Linked DNA regions of Saccharomyces cerevisiae S288C. The gene in region 1 interacts genetically with each later gene. Each region holds a gene or a part of one and is shown in the gene's direction. Other genes may lie near its edges. The genes, in order: CNN1, AME1, OKP1 and MIF2.

The links.
Region 2: mutations in CNN1 (region 1) and AME1 together harm fitness more than expected from each alone (negative genetic interaction), as found in Saccharomyces cerevisiae (3 studies listed by BioGRID, with this or other methods).
Region 3: mutations in CNN1 (region 1) and OKP1 impair growth when combined (synthetic growth defect), as found in Saccharomyces cerevisiae (3 studies listed by BioGRID, with this or other methods).
Region 4: mutations in CNN1 (region 1) and MIF2 impair growth when combined (synthetic growth defect), as found in Saccharomyces cerevisiae (4 studies listed by BioGRID, with this or other methods).

What each region holds. Positions count from the first base shown.
Region 1 is NC_001138.5:242,095-247,157, reverse strand, and holds CNN1 (centromere-binding protein CNN1), read left to right. Parts: upstream 1-2,998; coding exon 2,999-4,084; downstream 4,085-5,063. Other genes in the region: RMD8 (Rmd8p), read right to left, coding at 1-1,012; BNA6 (nicotinate-nucleotide diphosphorylase (carboxylating)), read left to right, coding at 1,992-2,879; MRX20 (Mrx20p), read right to left, coding at 4,159-5,063. UniProt on the Saccharomyces cerevisiae protein: Component of the kinetochore, a multiprotein complex that assembles on centromeric DNA and attaches chromosomes to spindle microtubules, mediating chromosome segregation and sister chromatid segregation during meiosis and mitosis.
Region 2 is NC_001134.8:644,536-649,385, reverse strand, and holds AME1 (Ame1p), read left to right. Parts: upstream 1-2,253; coding exon 2,254-3,228; downstream 3,229-4,850. Other genes in the region: NGR1 (Ngr1p), read right to left, coding at 1-1,500; ERV15 (Erv15p), read right to left, coding at 3,408-3,836.
Region 3 is NC_001139.9:853,175-858,292, reverse strand, and holds OKP1 (Okp1p), read left to right. Parts: upstream 1-3,397; coding exon 3,398-4,618; downstream 4,619-5,118. Other genes in the region: protein translocase subunit TIM13, read right to left, coding at 1-6; ribonucleotide-diphosphate reductase subunit RNR4, read left to right, coding at 1,992-3,029; PBP1 (Pbp1p), read left to right, coding at 5,078-5,118. UniProt on the Saccharomyces cerevisiae protein: Component of the kinetochore, a multiprotein complex that assembles on centromeric DNA and attaches chromosomes to spindle microtubules, mediating chromosome segregation and sister chromatid segregation during meiosis and mitosis.
Region 4 is NC_001143.9:271,661-277,060, forward strand, and holds MIF2 (Mif2p), read left to right. Parts: upstream 1-1,733; coding exon 1,734-3,383; downstream 3,384-5,400. Other genes in the region: CUE2 (Cue2p), read left to right, coding at 218-1,549; phosphopantothenoylcysteine decarboxylase complex subunit CAB3, read left to right, coding at 3,623-5,338. UniProt on the Saccharomyces cerevisiae protein: Component of the kinetochore, a multiprotein complex that assembles on centromeric DNA and attaches chromosomes to spindle microtubules, mediating chromosome segregation and sister chromatid segregation during meiosis and mitosis.

The sequences.
Region 1 (5,063 bases):
CCCGTTTCTCTATCTCTAAGGGAGTTTCTTCCGCAAAAAATTGTGGTTCCATAGGATTAAAAGAGTCTTGCTGACCAACTGGATTTGGTAGATGATCGGGAACTGTTGTGGTGTCTTGATTAGCGTTATTGTTATTTCCACTGGTTTCTAGTTCGTAATTATTATTTGCATCTTCCACAGTTTCCACACCTGAGTAATATTCATAATGATGATCTCTCTGTTCGCTTGTATCAATTAAATTATCAATTAATGTCTTTCCACCCATTGTTTTCTTAGATAAATTTGATTTGATTCTAAAACCGCCTTTACCTGGTAGAAGTGGCAAAGTATACGCAACGTATAGACACTCATCATACAATCTTGGTGAAACCTCATGAGTTTCCTGCAGAAACTTATACAATTGGTTGAGATTGAAGCCATCAGCAACATTATATGCGGTGATTCTTGCCATGGACTTTTCTTTTGAGTATCGAGGTAGCCGATCGAAGGAATTAGACTTCATAGAGCCCACTTTCGGTCTTTGCCTATCCAGCGCGTTCGTTGGTAGAGTTTGAAAGTGGTTCAAGTTGTCGTCTTCCGGTATCAACACTAACTTTTGTGACGTCTTCGATGTTCTTGGAGGCAGGGGATTGATCATCTTTCTACGCGAACTTAACCGCTCATATTGGCGAGGCCTATCGCTTGAAGAGCTGGATAGCCTTTCCTCTCTTCTGGCAGAGGGAATATCTGAATTATCAGAAAGAATATTATCTATGGATATATCGCTAAACCTGCCAGACGATCGCCTTCTTGGATGAGTAAAACTCTGCAGCGGAGAAGGGCCAATAGCGGAAGAGCGAACTCCTTGAGACTTCGTAACTCCTGCGTTTTCCATATTCTTCCTACTACCAGCAGCGTGTCCAGCGAACGGTGCACTCATTCTATTCTTGGATGTTCTTGCATCTGTCACCAGGATGGAAGGTGACCTTTTCGGCATCTCCCCAGGAGATGGTTGGTTAGCCTTATAACTCATACTGTCGTCTTAAATGGAAGTCCTTTCCTTTGCTCCATATGCAATTTTGCATACGAACTTCCGATTGATATAATCTTGTATTAATGTATGCCTAACCTGGTTTTGTTTTTCTTGTAGGTTTTTCTAGCCAGTTTTACTATAAATTGTCACTTTTTCCTAGTAGTCAATTTGAAAAAAAAAAAAATATATGGGTAATTATAATAACAAGAAGTGTTCTTCTGATTGTCGGAGATGCCTCTAATGCCAATGCACAGGCTTCCATAAAGTTTTCAAGCATGACAGAAAGCTAACTTGTCTTTTACTTCTTTGTTGGGCACACTTCTCATTTTTAAAAAAAAGATTTCCACCTTCACGATCATATCTGAAATGAACTGAATATTTTGTTCTTGTGAGAATAAACTTGTCTACTAATCGCAAATTTTTCAAGATTAACCTTCCGCACCCATTGAGGTACTAAACTGATCTACCCTACCTTTCCTAAATACCTAATGTCAGGTACATAATGCCAGCGACAGCTCAAAATCACGGGATACTAATTATTAAATAGTAGTAGCTTCTTCTCCACGCACAGTTCGATCGAAGGAGCTAATATTCGGCTTGTCATCTTCCATGGCCAGTAATTTTTTTTATTGTCATTTGGGACTAATGAGATGGAAACTAGAATTGTAGTTATACATCCTGAGGTTTCTATCAACTTGTGTGTCACAACGTTTTATATACTTGAATGCGTAGTAGCAAACCCCGGCAAGACGTAAGTTAACTTGTCAAAGGTACAAGCTTGGTTACAAACAATGTGATATTTCGCTCCAGGATATTTTTGCTTTTGGTGACGCCGGTTGGTTGAAGAGCCCCCATTTATCATGACTCCTACCGCAGTTTTCGTATATCTTGGGCCATAAATTCGAAAATTAAAGACACCACTTAATAACGCAACAAAAAGAACGCAATCCTCAGAAAGAACACACACCAAAAAAAAAAAATGCCTGTTTATGAACACTTATTGCCCGTTAATGGAGCATGGAGACAAGACGTCACCAATTGGCTGAGCGAGGACGTTCCTTCTTTTGATTTTGGTGGATATGTTGTTGGTTCCGACCTAAAGGAGGCCAATTTGTACTGTAAGCAGGATGGTATGCTGTGTGGTGTCCCCTTTGCGCAAGAAGTCTTTAATCAGTGCGAATTGCAAGTTGAGTGGTTGTTTAAGGAAGGCTCCTTCTTGGAGCCTTCGAAGAATGACTCTGGTAAGATTGTTGTAGCTAAAATTACTGGGCCCGCTAAAAACATTCTATTAGCTGAAAGAACCGCCTTGAACATCCTTAGTAGAAGTAGTGGAATTGCCACCGCCTCACATAAGATAATCAGTTTGGCGCGTTCGACTGGTTACAAGGGGACCATTGCGGGGACAAGAAAGACTACACCAGGTTTACGTAGATTAGAAAAGTATTCCATGCTTGTAGGTGGCTGCGACACGCACAGATACGACCTTTCCTCTATGGTCATGCTCAAAGATAATCATATTTGGGCTACTGGTTCTATAACAAACGCAGTTAAGAACGCCAGGGCCGTGTGCGGGTTTGCTGTGAAGATCGAAGTGGAGTGTTTGAGTGAAGATGAAGCCACAGAGGCCATTGAAGCTGGTGCAGACGTTATCATGTTGGATAATTTCAAAGGTGACGGTTTGAAAATGTGCGCCCAAAGTCTTAAGAACAAATGGAATGGTAAAAAGCATTTCCTCTTGGAATGTAGTGGAGGCTTGAATTTGGACAACCTCGAGGAGTATTTGTGCGATGACATTGACATTTACAGCACTAGTAGCATTCATCAAGGCACACCAGTGATTGATTTCTCATTGAAACTGGCTCATTGAAAATGCTTAGGCTTCGATTTTTACTTTTTTTTATTTACATATTCTAAATAAGATTAAGAAGCTACGCGTTACCGATTAATGACACACACGACGATTAGTAACGAAATAAGAAATGAATAATGAGCACTCCCAGGAAGGCCGCCGGTAACAACGAGAATACAGAAGTCTCAGAGATCAGAACCCCCTTTCGGGAGAGAGCCCTTGAAGAACAACGTCTCAAGGATGAGGTACTGATCAGAAATACGCCAGGTTATAGAAAACTTTTATCTGCTTCTACTAAGTCTCATGACATCCTCAATAAAGATCCGAACGAAGTACGAAGTTTTTTACAAGACTTAAGCCAAGTGTTAGCACGCAAATCACAAGGCAACGATACAACTACTAATAAAACTCAAGCACGGAATCTAATAGATGAATTAGCGTACGAAGAGAGCCAACCAGAGGAGAATGAGCTTCTTCGGAGCAGAAGTGAGAAACTGACAGATAACAACATTGGCAATGAAACGCAACCTGATTATACTTCCTTATCGCAAACAGTATTTGCAAAATTGCAGGAAAGAGACAAAGGCTTGAAAAGTAGGAAGATTGACCCGATAATAATACAAGATGTTCCCACGACAGGACACGAGGATGAATTGACAGTGCACTCTCCAGATAAAGCTAACAGTATCTCTATGGAAGTTTTGCGCACGTCGCCAAGCATTGGAATGGATCAGGTAGATGAACCGCCAGTACGTGATCCGGTACCAATTTCCATAACGCAACAGGAAGAACCACTATCTGAAGATTTACCAAGCGACGATAAAGAGGAGACAGAAGAAGCAGAAAACGAAGATTATTCGTTTGAAAACACCAGTGACGAAAATTTGGATGATATAGGCAACGATCCTATCCGTTTAAATGTCCCTGCGGTGAGACGTTCTTCTATAAAACCGCTGCAAATAATGGATCTAAAACATCTTACAAGGCAATTTTTGAATGAGAATAGGATAATATTGCCGAAACAAACGTGGTCTACTATACAGGAGGAATCTTTAAATATAATGGATTTCTTGAAACAAAAAATCGGCACGTTACAAAAACAGGAATTGGTAGATTCGTTTATCGATATGGGTATTATCAATAACGTTGATGATATGTTTGAGCTCGCGCACGAATTGCTTCCCTTAGAACTTCAATCAAGAATTGAAAGTTATTTGTTCTAAAAAAGATACCGTAGAGAAAATAATTAAATAGTGGCAATTTATGTACAGAAAAGAGTAAAAGATCCACAAAATTATCAAGACCTGGAAGAGAAGCCTAGTAACAAACTAACCTGTTCATAAACAGTGAACGTTAAGCCTCCTGAAATACCGACTTTCATAAACCTAAAGATGGAGCCCTTCCAGAATGTGGCCATGCCTTCTTGAACAAATATTCTATACATGCAATTTAAGGTATTTTTATATTCAGTTTTGGCATTTTGACTCATCATCCTTGTTTTTACGACGTCAATGGGCTGAGTCATTGCCACGAGTGTAAAAGATGTGGCTAACCCCGTTATTACTGAGGATGCCTTGTCGTTTCTTGCTTGTAACAACCGTTTAAATGCTGTGTATGCAGTAAATTGAATAGAGGTGTTAGCTATCTGCCTAAATATGGTGGCTGTTGTTCCCTGGACGAACGCAGCAGGGCCTCTTGTTTGATACATGTGTTTTACCGCTGGAAGTAGTTTCTCGATACGAGCCACAGGAGTAGATTTAGTCGCCACCTTGTGAAAGGTTGCCTTTGCGTTAACTACAGGTTGATTCTTCTCTAATTTTTTATGATCGATCATCGCCGATTGGATAAGGGTGGTTTTTATGTTTTCAAAAGGGATAATAAACAAACTTTCTACTATTCCTGTCAACGTACCAGCGATCAAAAGGTTATAACCAGTCAGTCTTTGAAAATTATCATTATTATCAATGTTATTATTCAGGGAGTGGCATAACTTGTCGAACGTAACGAACCTTAAAATAGTCTTACCAAATGCGGCCACGTTTAGGGCAGAGCAGCCAACAAAGTACGACTTAATCTGAGGTAAAATGATTTCGAAAGCGGTACCCTTCGGTTGCAATTGTAAACCAGTCTTTAAGTACTCAAATGGGTATGTCATTGTCGTTTGAAACACAGCAGCTACACTGCCGGCAGTGATTTGCTTGT
Region 2 (4,850 bases), on another chromosome or scaffold:
AGAAAAGTTACCATCCTGTTGCTGCTGCTGCTGCTGCTGCTGCTGCTGATGTAAAAAGAGTCGCCTTTTATCTTCCGCATATTGTTCAAGAATTTGTTTGGAGTTATCGACTGAAGAAGCCGCAGATGGCGCTCTCAGGCCATTTGAGGACATATATTGGCTTGCCCCCATGATGGTCGAATTTGTTTTAGCATTTGAACTGGATGGGCGTCCCCATGATAATCTTATTGGACTGCCGCCCACAATAAAGCCTTGCAGGCCTTGTATTGAAGCTTCAGCATCAATCCTCTTCTCGAATTTAACAAACCCACAGTTTTTACCATTGGGAATCCTGACATTTAGAATGGGTCCAAAGGGTTTGAATAGTGAACGTAATTGAAATTCGGTAGTTTTTGGTACCAGTCCTCCCACAAAAACAGTAGTATTAGTGGGGTCTGTATTATAGGTGTTTGAAGGTAGTGAATCATTTACACGCATGTTTGAAATGCCGCCCTCATTCAAATGCATTGGAGGCGCGTTATGCAAGGCATTGAGAGGAAGCATGTTGCTATTGTTTTGAATGAGATTATTTGCAGTCTTAATCAAGAGAGGGCCATTATTATCCTCCTGATCTAGCTGCTGATGCTGTTGCTGCAATTGTTGTTGCTGTTGTTGTTGTTCCTGTAACTGCAGCATCATATTATTTCTTGGCGTGGCATAAGCGACTCTTAAGGCCCTTCCTTGAAACCATTTCCCACTCATCTCAATCAGTGCCCTGCGGCGCTCATCTTCATCACCGAATCTGACAAATCCAAAACAACGAGATGATCCTGTTAAAGGGTCAGTCATCACGCGGACGGTTTTAACAGATTTGAACCTCGTTTGGAAAAGAGATAACAAATCAGCTTCAGTGGCGGTGGGAGAAAGATCACCAACAAACAAGGAAAATTCTGGGGTAGATGGTATAGAACTTTGTAAAGTAGCTCCAGACGCCCAATTCAATCTGAAAGTCCTTTTGAACGTTGGATTAGTTTGGGAGTTAGTTGTTGGGGAATAAAAATTAGGTAAAGGTGTAGCATTTAATGACAGGGCAAATTTAGCGTCCTTTTGAGTTTCAAATTCGACAAAACAGTATCCGGCATGATGTAATTGAGTAGTGGAAGGATCAATGAAGGATATTCCATTAATATTAATCATTTGGGAATTATCTAACTGATCAGTGCTGTTTGATGCAGATTGCTGGTTTTCAGCATTCTCCTCACTTGTGTTGTTATTACTACTTGAGGTGGAGCTACAAGGAATCAACAAATTTTTTTTGGCTCTAATTAGTTTAACGATAACTTTTTTATCCAGTTTTGACCATATCTCCTCAATCGTGGCCTCGTCGAAGGACGGATCCAAATCTCCCATCCATAACGTTCTTGGGGGTTCAGTAGAAGTTTCCACTGTGGATGAAGGAGGCAATGGAATAATATATGGATTTTCCTGTCTTTGGGAGGCGTTAGCAACGTTAGACATCATTTGTGTAAATTTTTCAGGCAAAAATCGATGGCGAAGGATATGAAAAAGCTGTAATATTTAAAAGATCCAATAATAGTAAAAACAATATAAATCAGAACGAAAGGGAAAGAAAAAAGCCTCCTTTATTAATATTGGAACAGGAAGAGAATATCAAAAAATGAACCGGGAAAAAAATGGAATTACAATATATGACAATATAACAGATTCGATCACGAGAAATCAGAATATTTGGAACTAGGATATAACACGCAGATGGTTTTCCGTACAACTATGAAGAGTCAGAGAAAAAAAAAAATAGTGAATAAGAATGGTAATCTCTTTTATTGCTTCTTTGTCGACTGCGTCTATGTATATTGGTTCTAAAGGGAACAGGGTATGATAACCAGATTTAATTACAAATATGCTTATTTTCACTTTTAATGGAGTGTATGAAGGTGCGAAACTGCTTGCTTGACTAAGATTTGGTCTTGAATACAAGTTTGGGGAACGCTTTTTGGAACGGCACTATCGCCCCTTCACAGCCGTTTGAAGCTGGTAGAAAATATTTTATCGTGTTGTACGGAGAAATTTAATGGTGTATCCAAATATTGTTAAAGGACTAGTAGAAATGATAATGATTGATTTCATTAGCTATTATGGCAAGGGTCAACATCGTTGCAGTATAAGAAGCGATTGCTCTCATTTTTTTACGTGTCCTGTGTTGCTCTGTATTGTCTTGACTATTTGCGTGTTCATTTAAAGAAAAACCTCAGTATGGATAGAGACACTAAATTAGCTTTTAGGCTGAGGGGCAGTCATTCAAGAAGGACAGACGATATAGATGATGATGTTATTGTATTTAAGACGCCAAATGCTGTTTATAGAGAGGAGAACTCACCTATTCAATCTCCTGTTCAACCCATTTTGTCTTCACCAAAACTTGCGAATTCTTTCGAGTTTCCTATTACCACTAATAACGTAAATGCGCAGGACCGTCATGAACATGGGTATCAGCCCTTGGATGCAGAAGACTATCCCATGATCGACTCTGAAAATAAAAGTCTTATAAGCGAATCGCCGCAAAATGTTAGAAATGATGAAGACCTTACTACTCGTTACAATTTCGATGATATACCCATTAGACAGCTATCATCGTCTATCACTTCTGTGACCACAATTGATGTTTTATCTTCTTTATTCATAAACTTATTTGAAAATGATTTGATTCCGCAAGCTTTGAAGGATTTCAATAAAAGTGATGATGATCAATTTAGGAAACTATTGTACAAATTAGATCTGCGACTCTTTCAAACGATATCAGACCAAATGACCAGAGACTTGAAAGACATATTAGATATCAACGTGTCGAATAATGAGCTCTGCTACCAACTGAAGCAGGTACTTGCTCGAAAAGAAGATTTGAACCAGCAGATAATATCGGTACGAAATGAAATTCAAGAGTTGAAAGCCGGTAAAGACTGGCATGACTTACAAAATGAACAAGCCAAACTGAACGACAAAGTGAAGCTAAATAAGAGGCTAAATGATTTGACTTCTACTTTGCTAGGCAAATACGAGGGAGATCGCAAAATTATGAGCCAAGATAGCGAGGACGATTCAATACGGGATGACTCAAATATTCTGGATATTGCACATTTCGTAGACTTGATGGATCCATATAACGGACTTCTGAAAAAGATAAATAAAATTAATGAAAATCTTTCTAACGAATTACAACCAAGTCTATAGGGAATTGGTTCAAAAGATGTATATATATATATATATATATATATATGTATGTATATATGTATATATGTATATATGTATTACTTCCATACTAAGGAAGTTGTGTTATAAGGTCATTTTTATGTGGTAGACATACTTCATAGATATGCACAAATCTCTCTTTTTTTTTCCTGTTGTCGCTATTAGCTTATCAAATTTGCATCATTTTCAAGTAACGCTGTGACCATTCTGTAGAAGTAGAAAAAGAATATGAGAAGGTAAAATCCCAATTTTAAAAAGCATTCAATTTTGCATCTACCCAATTTTCTGAAAATATCCGTGGCGTCCAGTAGATGTGTTTTCTTGTAGACTTTACTTGCGTTATATGCTAGAACAGGGACATTCAAGAGAAATACGAACCAGTACCCGTTAAAAAGAAACAATGCAGAAATGAAAGCTTGTAGAATTGCCTCTGGTACACTCAACCTATTCACCCTCTTACACAGTTCGATTGAGTTGATATAGTCTGCTTCAAGATCACCATATAATATAGTAAAGTATATCTGGCAAATGGAATTCAAACAATTCAGTATAAGACCCGTCACGAATAGCGATAATCCGGTTCCTGACATCTTTACTCTTGGCTTCGAACTTCTTGGTGCCTGCAGTTAGTTTTATCTTTAGTAAAAAATGATAATGAAAGTGCTTATATGAATAAAGGTATTAATGTCTTCGTATTTAGCAATGTAATTGAAAAATCATTCGTGGCCCACGACAATATTTCCAAATTATCACAGCTTTCGATAGAAGTGAACGATTTTGAATTAGAGAGAGTAGTAGTGAGCTAGACGTACTGTGTTTTGAGAATTGAAGTTTGTATAGCAAAACTATACTATCATAATGCAACATTCAAGAAAAATAATGGTATAGAAACAAAAAATAACTCCGATACGGGGAGTCGAACCCCGGTCTCCACGGTGAAAGCGTGATGTGATAGCCGTTACACTATATCGGATAATAACTTATGTTTGATTTAACCTTAAAGATTTTCTATGTCAAGTTTAAACTGGAGGGCTTTCTATTGCCGAACAATCCTAGCTAAAGGCTTTTTTCCCTATTTACAGAAGAAAATGTAATGACTGAAGATTTTGAAAGGTCTCGTTTGATGGCTAGCAGGCTACACCTAGAATTACCCAATTCCAAAGGTTGGTCATCATAGGAAAACAACCAGCATGAACCTTACCCTAGTTCTCTTGCTACTATTTCACATCATCAGGTGATGTCAACTCAGCTTATTGTCAGTGACGACGGATTAGCATTGATACCTGATGTCATTTTAACACGTGTGTTGGATGGGATCCTATACACACCCAAAGAAGATGATTTTTACAACGACACCACCACCATGTATTATGTTTTTGCCACCTGGGGTGATCAAAGTTGGTCATCCTTCGGTTATGATAATACAGCAAGCCTGCAAGAGCACGAAAGATATGTTTTCTAACTTCTTGCCGAGCAGGGAATATTGGGGATTTGGACCGTTGGAATAAATGGGTCCTCAATATTGACAGGAGTCGGTTTTGGAATGAGAATTAACTATCATTTAGTGATGGTAATCCTATTACTAGAATATTATCAGATACAAT
Region 3 (5,118 bases), on another chromosome or scaffold:
ACCCATTTTCTTGATTAAATAAGCTCAAACTGTTGTTGGAGAGAAAAGATTGATTGGTTTGAACTGACAGATATCCTACTTGAATCCTCTTTTTGTCGATTTTATAAATCTTAGGACCTAGGATTTTTTTACTCTTCGGCAACGCCAGGAAAACTAAGATACACCGGAAACAAGAGGAAGGAGATCAAGAATTAGCGTTGGCTAGTAATGTGACTAAAGGGGAAAGACATTGCTCTTTATTCGCTTATATTTTATTTGTTGTATTGATATGATCTCTTTCTGAATCTGTAGCGACCTGTCAAATCGTCAAGGGTATGGTTTAATGAGGAAGTGAAACCATAGCGCTAGCGCCAGTTCCAGGTTTGATACATAGCAAATCTATCATATGTACTCATAAATGCCATTTCAGAACTCATTTAGCAGTTTTGTTTTAGCTTGAACGTTATCAGAATTCTTGCGGGTAATACACCGGTGCAAAGTCCATTATCGACGGGAGAGATAACAGATGCAGGCTCCAAGAAAAGTGGTCATGGCTTTTATCACCAGGACAAACTAGCAAGGACAAACATTTTATTCGGATGATTGGATTTAACGGCTGGGCGAGTGGGTGATACCGCGGTGTTACCATCCTCTCGGTTACAACGTCACGTCTTTTTCTGTTTAACCCTTTTGTACTAACAAGGAATAAATTATATTCAATGAATTATGAACAGTCAAATGCGTATATATTGGCGCTCCACCTTTATTGTATATCAGATGAGGTAACATTACTTGTACCGCGCTCGCTTTCAACAAATAAGTGGTTGTTTGGCCGAGCGGTCTAAGGCGCCTGATTCAAGAAATATCTTGACCGCAGTTAACTGTGGGAATACTCAGGTATCGTAAGATGCAAGAGTTCGAATCTCTTAGCAACCAATAATTTTTTTTTCAATAATTAAGTACCAATTTCCTGCTAATGGGCAGGCCCACCTTTATTTCTTTTTTTTTCCATTAGAACGAGCATTTCAGGCAAGAAAGGGAACCGGCGAAGACGGGAAAGTGTACTTTTCACGAAACAAAGAAAATGAAGTACGCGTCTAGACTATTCCCATAATGTTTACGTTTCACAGAAATTGAGGAATCTGGAGATAAGGCAACGAGGACCACCTGAGTGTCGCCACTAGTACCTTGCTATACGAATATCCTGTGTGTGAGTGTTTACGCGTCTATGTGATTTCGCTTCCAGAGTGGTTGCCATGGCAAACTATTCAACCCGCTCTTTTTCTATCCAAAACCAACAACAGAACATGAGCAAGCCCCACTCCACTGAATATCTGGAGCGCCTCCACCGCTTGTGTGGTCTGCCCCCTTCTGCGAGGTCGCCTCTGAGCTTAATAAGCACCGTGCGCCTACCTTCGTTTCCCTTTTTGAGGGTACCCGCCCATACACCGCACCAATGGAACTAGCAGGTACGACCACCCAACACCAAGCACCGGAAACCGGACAGTGCAAGTTCTAGCACACTGAAAGCGGCGCACGAGAACGCGCTTTTCAGCGTGCGAGAACCACGTTTTGGCAGTTATTGTTCACCACAGCGTCTCTTGCCTTCCCGATGGGCGTTGTTGTGGCAACACCATCCTCTTTGCTTACTGTAATCGGTAGACGACGTCCGTTCCTTCCTTGGTCTCATGAAGCTCTGGCGTATAAAAACGGCGATTGAATCTTCAATGTTCCTAAAGTTTCATTCCTTATCTCTCATTTTCTTCATTTTTTGTCTCTTGGCTTTTCGATCAAAAAAAGACTATCAATAGATACATTGGTTTCTGACCCCACCTCTGTCCCCTTACACTATCAAATTTCACTTTTTTACTTTTTTTTTTTTTGCAAAAGGCCTTGTCTCGAAACAGAAAGAAAAAAAATTCATTTAAAAAGGGAAATAAAAAATTGCTAATACAAAAACAGATCTTTTTGAGCCACACAACCCCGCGCAACGCACACAATTAGTTATTACAATGGAAGCACATAACCAATTTTTGAAGACTTTCCAAAAAGAACGTCATGATATGAAAGAAGCTGAAAAGGATGAAATCCTTTTGATGGAAAACAGCCGTAGATTCGTGATGTTCCCTATCAAATACCACGAAATCTGGGCTGCTTACAAGAAGGTTGAAGCCTCTTTCTGGACTGCGGAAGAAATCGAATTGGCTAAGGACACTGAAGATTTCCAAAAATTGACTGATGACCAGAAGACCTACATCGGTAACTTGTTAGCCTTGTCCATTTCTTCTGACAACCTTGTCAACAAGTACTTGATCGAAAACTTTTCTGCCCAATTGCAAAACCCTGAAGGTAAGAGTTTCTACGGGTTCCAGATTATGATGGAAAACATCTACTCTGAAGTTTACTCCATGATGGTTGATGCCTTCTTCAAGGACCCTAAGAACATCCCTCTATTCAAGGAAATTGCCAATTTGCCTGAAGTCAAGCATAAGGCTGCTTTCATCGAGAGATGGATTTCCAACGATGACAGCTTGTATGCTGAAAGACTAGTAGCATTTGCTGCAAAGGAAGGTATTTTCCAAGCTGGTAACTATGCTTCTATGTTCTGGTTGACTGACAAAAAGATTATGCCAGGTTTAGCAATGGCCAACAGAAACATCTGTAGAGACAGAGGTGCCTACACTGACTTTTCATGCTTGCTATTTGCCCATTTGAGAACCAAGCCAAACCCCAAGATCATTGAAAAAATCATTACCGAAGCCGTGGAAATTGAAAAGGAATACTACTCAAACTCTTTGCCAGTAGAAAAATTTGGTATGGATTTGAAGAGCATTCACACCTACATAGAATTTGTCGCTGACGGTCTATTACAAGGTTTCGGTAACGAAAAATACTACAACGCCGTCAACCCATTCGAATTCATGGAGGATGTCGCTACCGCTGGTAAGACCACCTTCTTTGAAAAGAAGGTTTCCGACTACCAAAAGGCCAGTGACATGTCTAAGTCCGCTACCCCATCCAAGGAAATTAACTTTGATGATGACTTCTAAGTCAACGACGGGGTGCGTTCTTTTATTCTTGGCCACTTTTATTTATATATATTTATATATACCTAGGTACAGTATAACTAAACTTAAGTAGAAAAATTTAAAAAGAAACTACAGTTTTTTTTTATATTTATTATGACAATATTTGCCATTTTCTTGTAGGTAGATAAGGGAAAGATTCAGAGAGTACCATCATCCCGGTCATTTCATTTAAATAACATATTTTTGTTACCCGGAGAGTCACAATACGGTCCACCCATTTGTTTACTACCTCGAAGTTAATACAGATAGAGGTACATAGCAACAATGGATGAGGTAACTTGCACCCTATGGACGAATAATTCAAGCGATACTAGTGCTACGTATACTGTATGGCAGCTGATAGAGATAATTTTTTACAAAATATTGAAAATGATTCAATTAACAATGGCCAGGCCATGGATCTGTCACCCAACCGAAGTTCCTCTGAAAGCGATAGCAGCATTCTCATGAATGTGAATGATATTAAAACTTTACGTCTGGACGTAGCACCAGAAGCTAAAAGCACCCAATCAAAGAAGTCGCTTTTTTATGAGAACTCTGATGATGCTGAAGAAGGAGAAATAGAAGAGCGCACGAACAAAGAAGAAGGACAATACCATCATAAAGGATCTAAACAACTTCGATTTGAGGTTGGCAAGGAAAGTACAGGTAAATTGCAATCTCATCTATCGGATGGAAGCGCAACAAGTGGAGAGGGCAATGTACGACCTTGGGAATTCAGGAAGGTAATACAAGCTGAGTATAGAGAAAGGTTGCCGCGCAATTATGAATTAAAGCATTGGAAAAAGCCTTCTAAAATAATGATAGGATCCATACTTCGTTTATTAGAGACTAACACTGTAAGCGCTCTTGATTCTGTCTTTGAGAAGTACGAAAAGGAAATGAACCAAATGACGCATGGCGATAATAATGAGGTTAAAAGAATATATTCTAAGAAGGAACGTTTGCTTGAAATAATCCTCACAAAGATAAAGAAGAAGCTAAGACAGGCCAAATTTCCCTCTAGGATATCGGAAAGAGATCTAGACATCGAGTATATTTATTCTAAGCGACAATTTATTCAAAACCGGTATTCACAAGAACTACAAAATAATGAGAGATTGGAAGCAATTCTTTCACGTGAACAAAACCTTTTGGAGGAAACTAGGAAGTTGTGCATGAATTTAAAAACAAACAACAAGAAACGACTCACTGAGAAGCTAATACAAAAAGATCTGCATCCAGTACTTAACAAAGCAATGGAATATACATATGGCTTAGAATCTACTAATGGATTTATGCATCCTGATGGCCCAGTAACTTTTAGAAATGATAGCCACGAATTGAACCTGATGTTGAACGACCCCATAAAAAGTACAGCCGATGTGAGGCTTGATAAGGAGGAAGTACTGTCGTTGTTACCTTCTTTGAAAGAATATACGAAGAAATCAAAGGAACTTAAGGAAACAATGGGTCAAATGATTTCGGATTCACATGAAGAAGAAATCAAAGAGGTTTTTGTACCGCACCATGAGTCGCACCAAGATAAGACCGAAGAAGATATACACTAGCGATAATCCATTGTTTCAGAGTTTACGATTACGATGCATATAACTAAATATTTGATATATAATCATGCACTATTAGCATCCGGGTTACGTAACTTCTCCGCCAACGAGCCTCAGAAAACCTTGGAGAGCCACAACAAATTATGAAAAACTGGAAAAAAAAAAAAATAAAGAAGGAAGGAAAGCTCAATTGGGAGGCACTTTCTTTACTTGAGATTTGCGTTTTTGTAAAGCAGTTCTTAAATCGGCATCTCTCATCGCATAGATCTTTAAGGAAGATATAGGTCATTCACTCGCGTTTTCTTCTATCTTTCTTTTTGTTCTTTCCAGAAGACGTTTCGATTATTTCCGAATTGATCTTGAAGGGGAAGCAATAATTAAATCTTTGAAAATTGATTTGATATAAAAACTGACATCCTCAGTCACGGAAGTAATTAAAGGAGTTCATTACATTGAAACAATATGAAGGGAAACTTTAGGAAAAGAGATAGCTCCACCAACTC
Region 4 (5,400 bases), on another chromosome or scaffold:
AGGAATACGTATGAAATATAAATCAACAAACATACGTACTGAATTATGTATCAGGATATATTGCTTTCACAGTTTGGAAATTGCCTCTATCACCAAGATATTCACTGTTAAAAAAAAAAATGCGAAAAAATTCAAATTTCAACAGCGATATTCGCCTTCAGTATATCAATATAAAGCAATTATGACACCTCATTTATCGTGCATATAAGATCATGCAATGAGTATGGATAACAATGATGACCATGAATCTAAATTGTCAATCTTGATGGACATGTTTCCAGCTATTTCCAAATCCAAATTACAAGTACATTTACTTGAAAACAATAATGATTTGGATTTAACGATAGGCTTGCTGTTAAAAGAAAACGACGATAAGTCTACAGTTGATAATGAATTACATCAACTGTACGACATGTTTCCTCAGCTTGATTGCAGCGTTATAAAAGATCAGTTTGTAATAAATGAGAAGTCCGTAGAATCGACTATTTCTGATCTTCTGAATTATGAAACCCTGCAAAAACTTAAAGACAATCAAGCAAATTCTCCTGATAGCGTAAAAAGGAACGAAAAGAAAAATAATTGGGAATCAACAAACGATCACATAGAGAGTATAATAAAGTTTACCGACGCTCCCAAAAATATTGCGCAGGAATACTTAGCCGAAAATGGTTTTGATACAGTAAAGGCGATCATCAAAATCATTTTGGATTATTACGACAAAAGGGATTTTAAAAAAGATGTGGATACTTTCAAAGTAAAACGGAGTCCTAATACGACTGTGAGAGGTGGTCGAGTTCAATCATCGACGGGGCTTGCCCACGTTTTGAAAAAGGGTAAAGAATCCGCAAATGTTGCTCAAGAGAGTCTCAAAAGGCCAAGGAGTTATAAGCACTCCTTGGATAGTCCGCAGATGGTTGAGTTAAATGAATTAGTTGCAGATAATCGCGATCTCAAAGCCATAAACCATGAATTTTTGCAAAAATGCCTGCAATTTTATGATGGAGATGTTGTAAAGGTGTTGAACATATCGTCCTTATTGATCGAAGATGACAAGAATATTACGAAAACTTGGAACTTTGACGAAGGTTTTACCTTGACATCCAGAGATAATTGTAAGCAACATTTACCCAAATTTTCAACACCGCAGATTTCCCGCAGAAATGAGGTAGGAAATACTTATAAATTGCCCCTTCATGACAAAGAAACCCCCGAGGGAGCTGTGCCGGTTATAAATAACCTGTTTCAAACATACAGATTGGATTTCCATGGTTTTCTTCCCAGTGAAGCGGTTTCAACACTGAAACTTGCATTAAATAAGTGGTGGTCCAAAGAGGTAGCAGAACGAGAGTTGAACTCCCACAACATAAACTCATATGGCTCAAAAGTACAGTTTGTAAGCCCGTTAATCGTGGTAACTGGTAGAGGTATCCACAGCATCGGCGGGATCTCAAAGGTTCGACTGCAGGTTAAAAGTTTTCTTGAAAAAAATCACTACATATTTTGGGAAGAATCTTCCTACTTCAGAATTGAGGGTAAGAAGAAGAAATAAAACCTATCTGATTTTTCTATAAAGGTTATAAACGCTAGGCTTCTTTAAACTGCATTGGGTTTTTTCTCAATTTCGAGAAAAATAATATAACGCGTTAGAAATGGTGATGTAAATAAATGAATGTTAGAAAAATACATACGTTAAACAAATAAGTTAGACATTAGCACAGGACAGCACTTCACTCATGGATTATATGAAATTGGGGCTTAAGTCCCGTAAAACTGGTATTGATGTTAAGCAAGATATACCCAAAGATGAATACAGCATGGAAAATATTGATGATTTTTTCAAAGATGATGAAACTAGTCTTATCAGTATGAGAAGGAAAAGCAGAAGAAAATCATCGCTTTTCTTACCATCAACGTTAAATGGCGATACTAAGAACGTATTACCGCCATTTCTACAGTCATATAAATCTCAAGATGATGAAGTTGTCCAAAGCCCATCTGGGAAAGGCGATGGATCAAGACGATCATCTTTGTTAAGCCATCAATCAAACTTCCTGAGTCCAGCCAATGATTTCGAGCCTATTGAGGAAGAACCAGAACAAGAAGAAAATGATATCAGAGGCAATGATTTTGCCACACCAATCACACAGAAATTGAGTAAACCTACATATAAAAGAAAGTACTCCACTCGGTATAGCCTTGACACTTCAGAAAGCCCTTCTGTAAGGTTGACACCTGATAGAATCACTAATAAGAATGTTTATTCAGATGTACCTGATTTGGTTGCTGATGAGGATGACGATGATAGAGTAAACACTTCTTTAAACACATCTGATAACGCATTATTAGAAGACGAATTAGAAGATGACGGGTTTATACCTGAAAGTGAAGAGGACGGTGATTACATTGAAAGTGACTCATCTTTGGATTCAGGCTCGGATTCAGCCAGTGATTCAGATGGAGATAACACCTATCAAGAAGTAGAAGAGGAGGCTGAGGTGAACACAAATGACAATGAAGATGATTATATAAGACGACAAGCGAGTGATGTGGTTCGTACAGATTCAATAATTGATAGAAACGGGCTTCGGAAATCTACAAGAGTCAAGGTGGCGCCTTTGCAGTATTGGAGGAACGAAAAAATAGTATATAAGAGGAAGTCCAATAAACCCGTTCTTGACATAGACAAAATTGTCACATATGATGAATCTGAAGACGAAGAGGAGATATTGGCAGCACAAAGAAGGAAGAAACAAAAAAAAAAACCTACACCAACCAGACCTTACAACTACGTACCTACGGGGAGACCAAGAGGAAGGCCAAAGAAGGATCCAAATGCAAAGGAAAATTTGATTCCAGAAGATCCCAACGAGGATATTATAGAAAGGATAGAATCTGGAGGCATAGAAAATGGCGAGTGGCTGAAACATGGAATACTGGAAGCTAATGTGAAAATTAGCGACACTAAGGAGGAAACTAAGGATGAAATTATTGCATTCGCGCCCAATTTGTCGCAAACTGAACAAGTAAAAGACACGAAGGACGAGAATTTTGCCCTTGAGATAATGTTCGATAAGCATAAAGAATATTTTGCTAGCGGCATATTAAAACTACCAGCTATTTCTGGACAAAAGAAATTAAGCAACTCATTTAGGACATATATTACGTTCCACGTGATACAGGGAATAGTCGAAGTAACTGTATGTAAGAACAAGTTCTTGAGCGTTAAAGGTTCCACTTTCCAAATACCGGCATTCAACGAGTACGCGATTGCCAATAGAGGGAATGATGAAGCCAAAATGTTCTTCGTTCAAGTGACCGTTTCAGAAGACGCTAACGATGACAACGACAAAGAATTAGACAGTACGTTTGACACTTTTGGGTAATTATGATGTGAATATTCTCATTATGCATGCTATGTACTGAAGAAATATAACTAGGTCCATACGCTTATACTGTTAAACATGTGAACTTTTCTGTAAGAAAATGAATCACGTAAAATTTCGCACCGAACTTTCGTAGATGAGAGAACAAAAAGCAGAAAAAGAGAAAGAACAGTAAAGTAACACTTAGTTAGCATATTTAAATAAAAGTCTAAAGGACCAGCAAAGAGTTATTAGGTGTGATGACGGATGAAAAAGTGAACTCAGATCAGAATATGAACGGTAAGCAGGGAGTTAACTTAATTTCATCCTTGCCTACAACACAAGTGCCGGTTTCAATTTTGACCAACAAGGAGAGAAGAAAAAGTATTCACGATGAATCAAATTTCGAAAGATCTGATAGTCATGAAGATCAATCAAAATCCAACTCTAATAGGAGGAATATTTACAAAAACGATTATAGCACAAATTTGAGGGATTTCTCTTTTGCCAATCTGAAGCAAAATAGTGAAAGGAACAAAGATGGCCATGAAATACAGATCAACACCAGTATGCCAGCTAATACAAATGGCCAGCAAAAAAGGTTTTCACCTTCATTACCTTCTGCTGTTTCATTTACGGTGCCCGAGGTGGAAAGGTTGCCGTATCATAGATATTCGATATCCAATAAACCTGGAAAGCAGCAGCAGCAGCAGGAACAACTGCAGCAAAATCAACAACAAGAAGAGCAGCAAAAGGCACAACTGCAGGAGCAAAATCAACGAGCAAAACAGCAAGAAGAGGTGAAGCAAATTCAGGAGCAAGTGCAAAAAAAGCAAACTGAAAGACAGCAACTGATAGACGAAAAGGAGAGGATAGCGAATGCAATATTTAAGGAGAACACTACTAATGATGGTACTGATATCAGGAAACATTCGGTATCGAGTGGTACGAGCAATAGCGAAGATGAAGTAGATTCACCTTCGATGGAAAAAAATTCTATCGTTCATATGCCAGGTGATTTTATCTACTTCAATCCCAAGTCAAACGCTTCTAAACCTATCACTGCAAAGGCGGCGCCATTATCGGCTAATAACTCCACACATAAAAACAAGGAAGTTATCACTGCACCCACAGGGCCTCGTGTACCCTTCACAGAGTTCTTTCAGAAGGAAGACGACAAGAAATTCCACATTCTCATTGGTGCGACGGGCTCAGTTGCCACAATAAAAGTACCTCTAATTATTGATAAACTTTTCAAGATATATGGGCCTGAGAAAATCTCTATTCAGTTGATTGTCACAAAACCCGCTGAGCATTTTTTGAAAGGGCTCAAAATGTCAACACACGTTAAAATTTGGAGGGAGGAAGACGCTTGGGTATTCGACGCTGTGAATAAGAATGATACTAGCTTGAGTCTGAACTTGATATTGCACCATGAATTAAGAAAATGGGCTGATATTTTCCTGATTGCGCCTTTGTCAGCTAACACACTTGCTAAACTGGCCAATGGTATATGTAACAATTTGCTAACTTCTGTGATGAGAGATTGGTCACCACTGACCCCAGTGTTGATTGCGCCTGCAATGAATACATTCATGTATATCAATCCTATGACAAAGAAACACCTGACGAGTTTAGTGCAAGACTATCCGTTCATCCAAGTTTTGAAACCGGTGGAAAAGGTATTAATATGCGGAGATATTGGTATGGGTGGTATGAGAGAATGGACAGATATTGTAGAGATCGTTAGGAGGAGAATCAATGAAATACGGAAAGCTAGGGACGAGGAAACTGGTGATAAAGAGCAAGAACAAGAAGAACAAGAGGGTGCTGACAATGAGGACGACGATGATGAGGATGACGAAGAGGATGAGGAGGACGAGGAGGAGGAAGAAGCTCTAAATGAAACAGCATCCGATGAGAGCAATGACGAGGAAGACGAAGAGGATGAGGAAGACGTGAAAACCGAAGTTTAAATGCATTAGAAAAGAGTATTTTGTGTTATGTTTTATGTTTTATTTTTTTTTTTTTTGTTTAT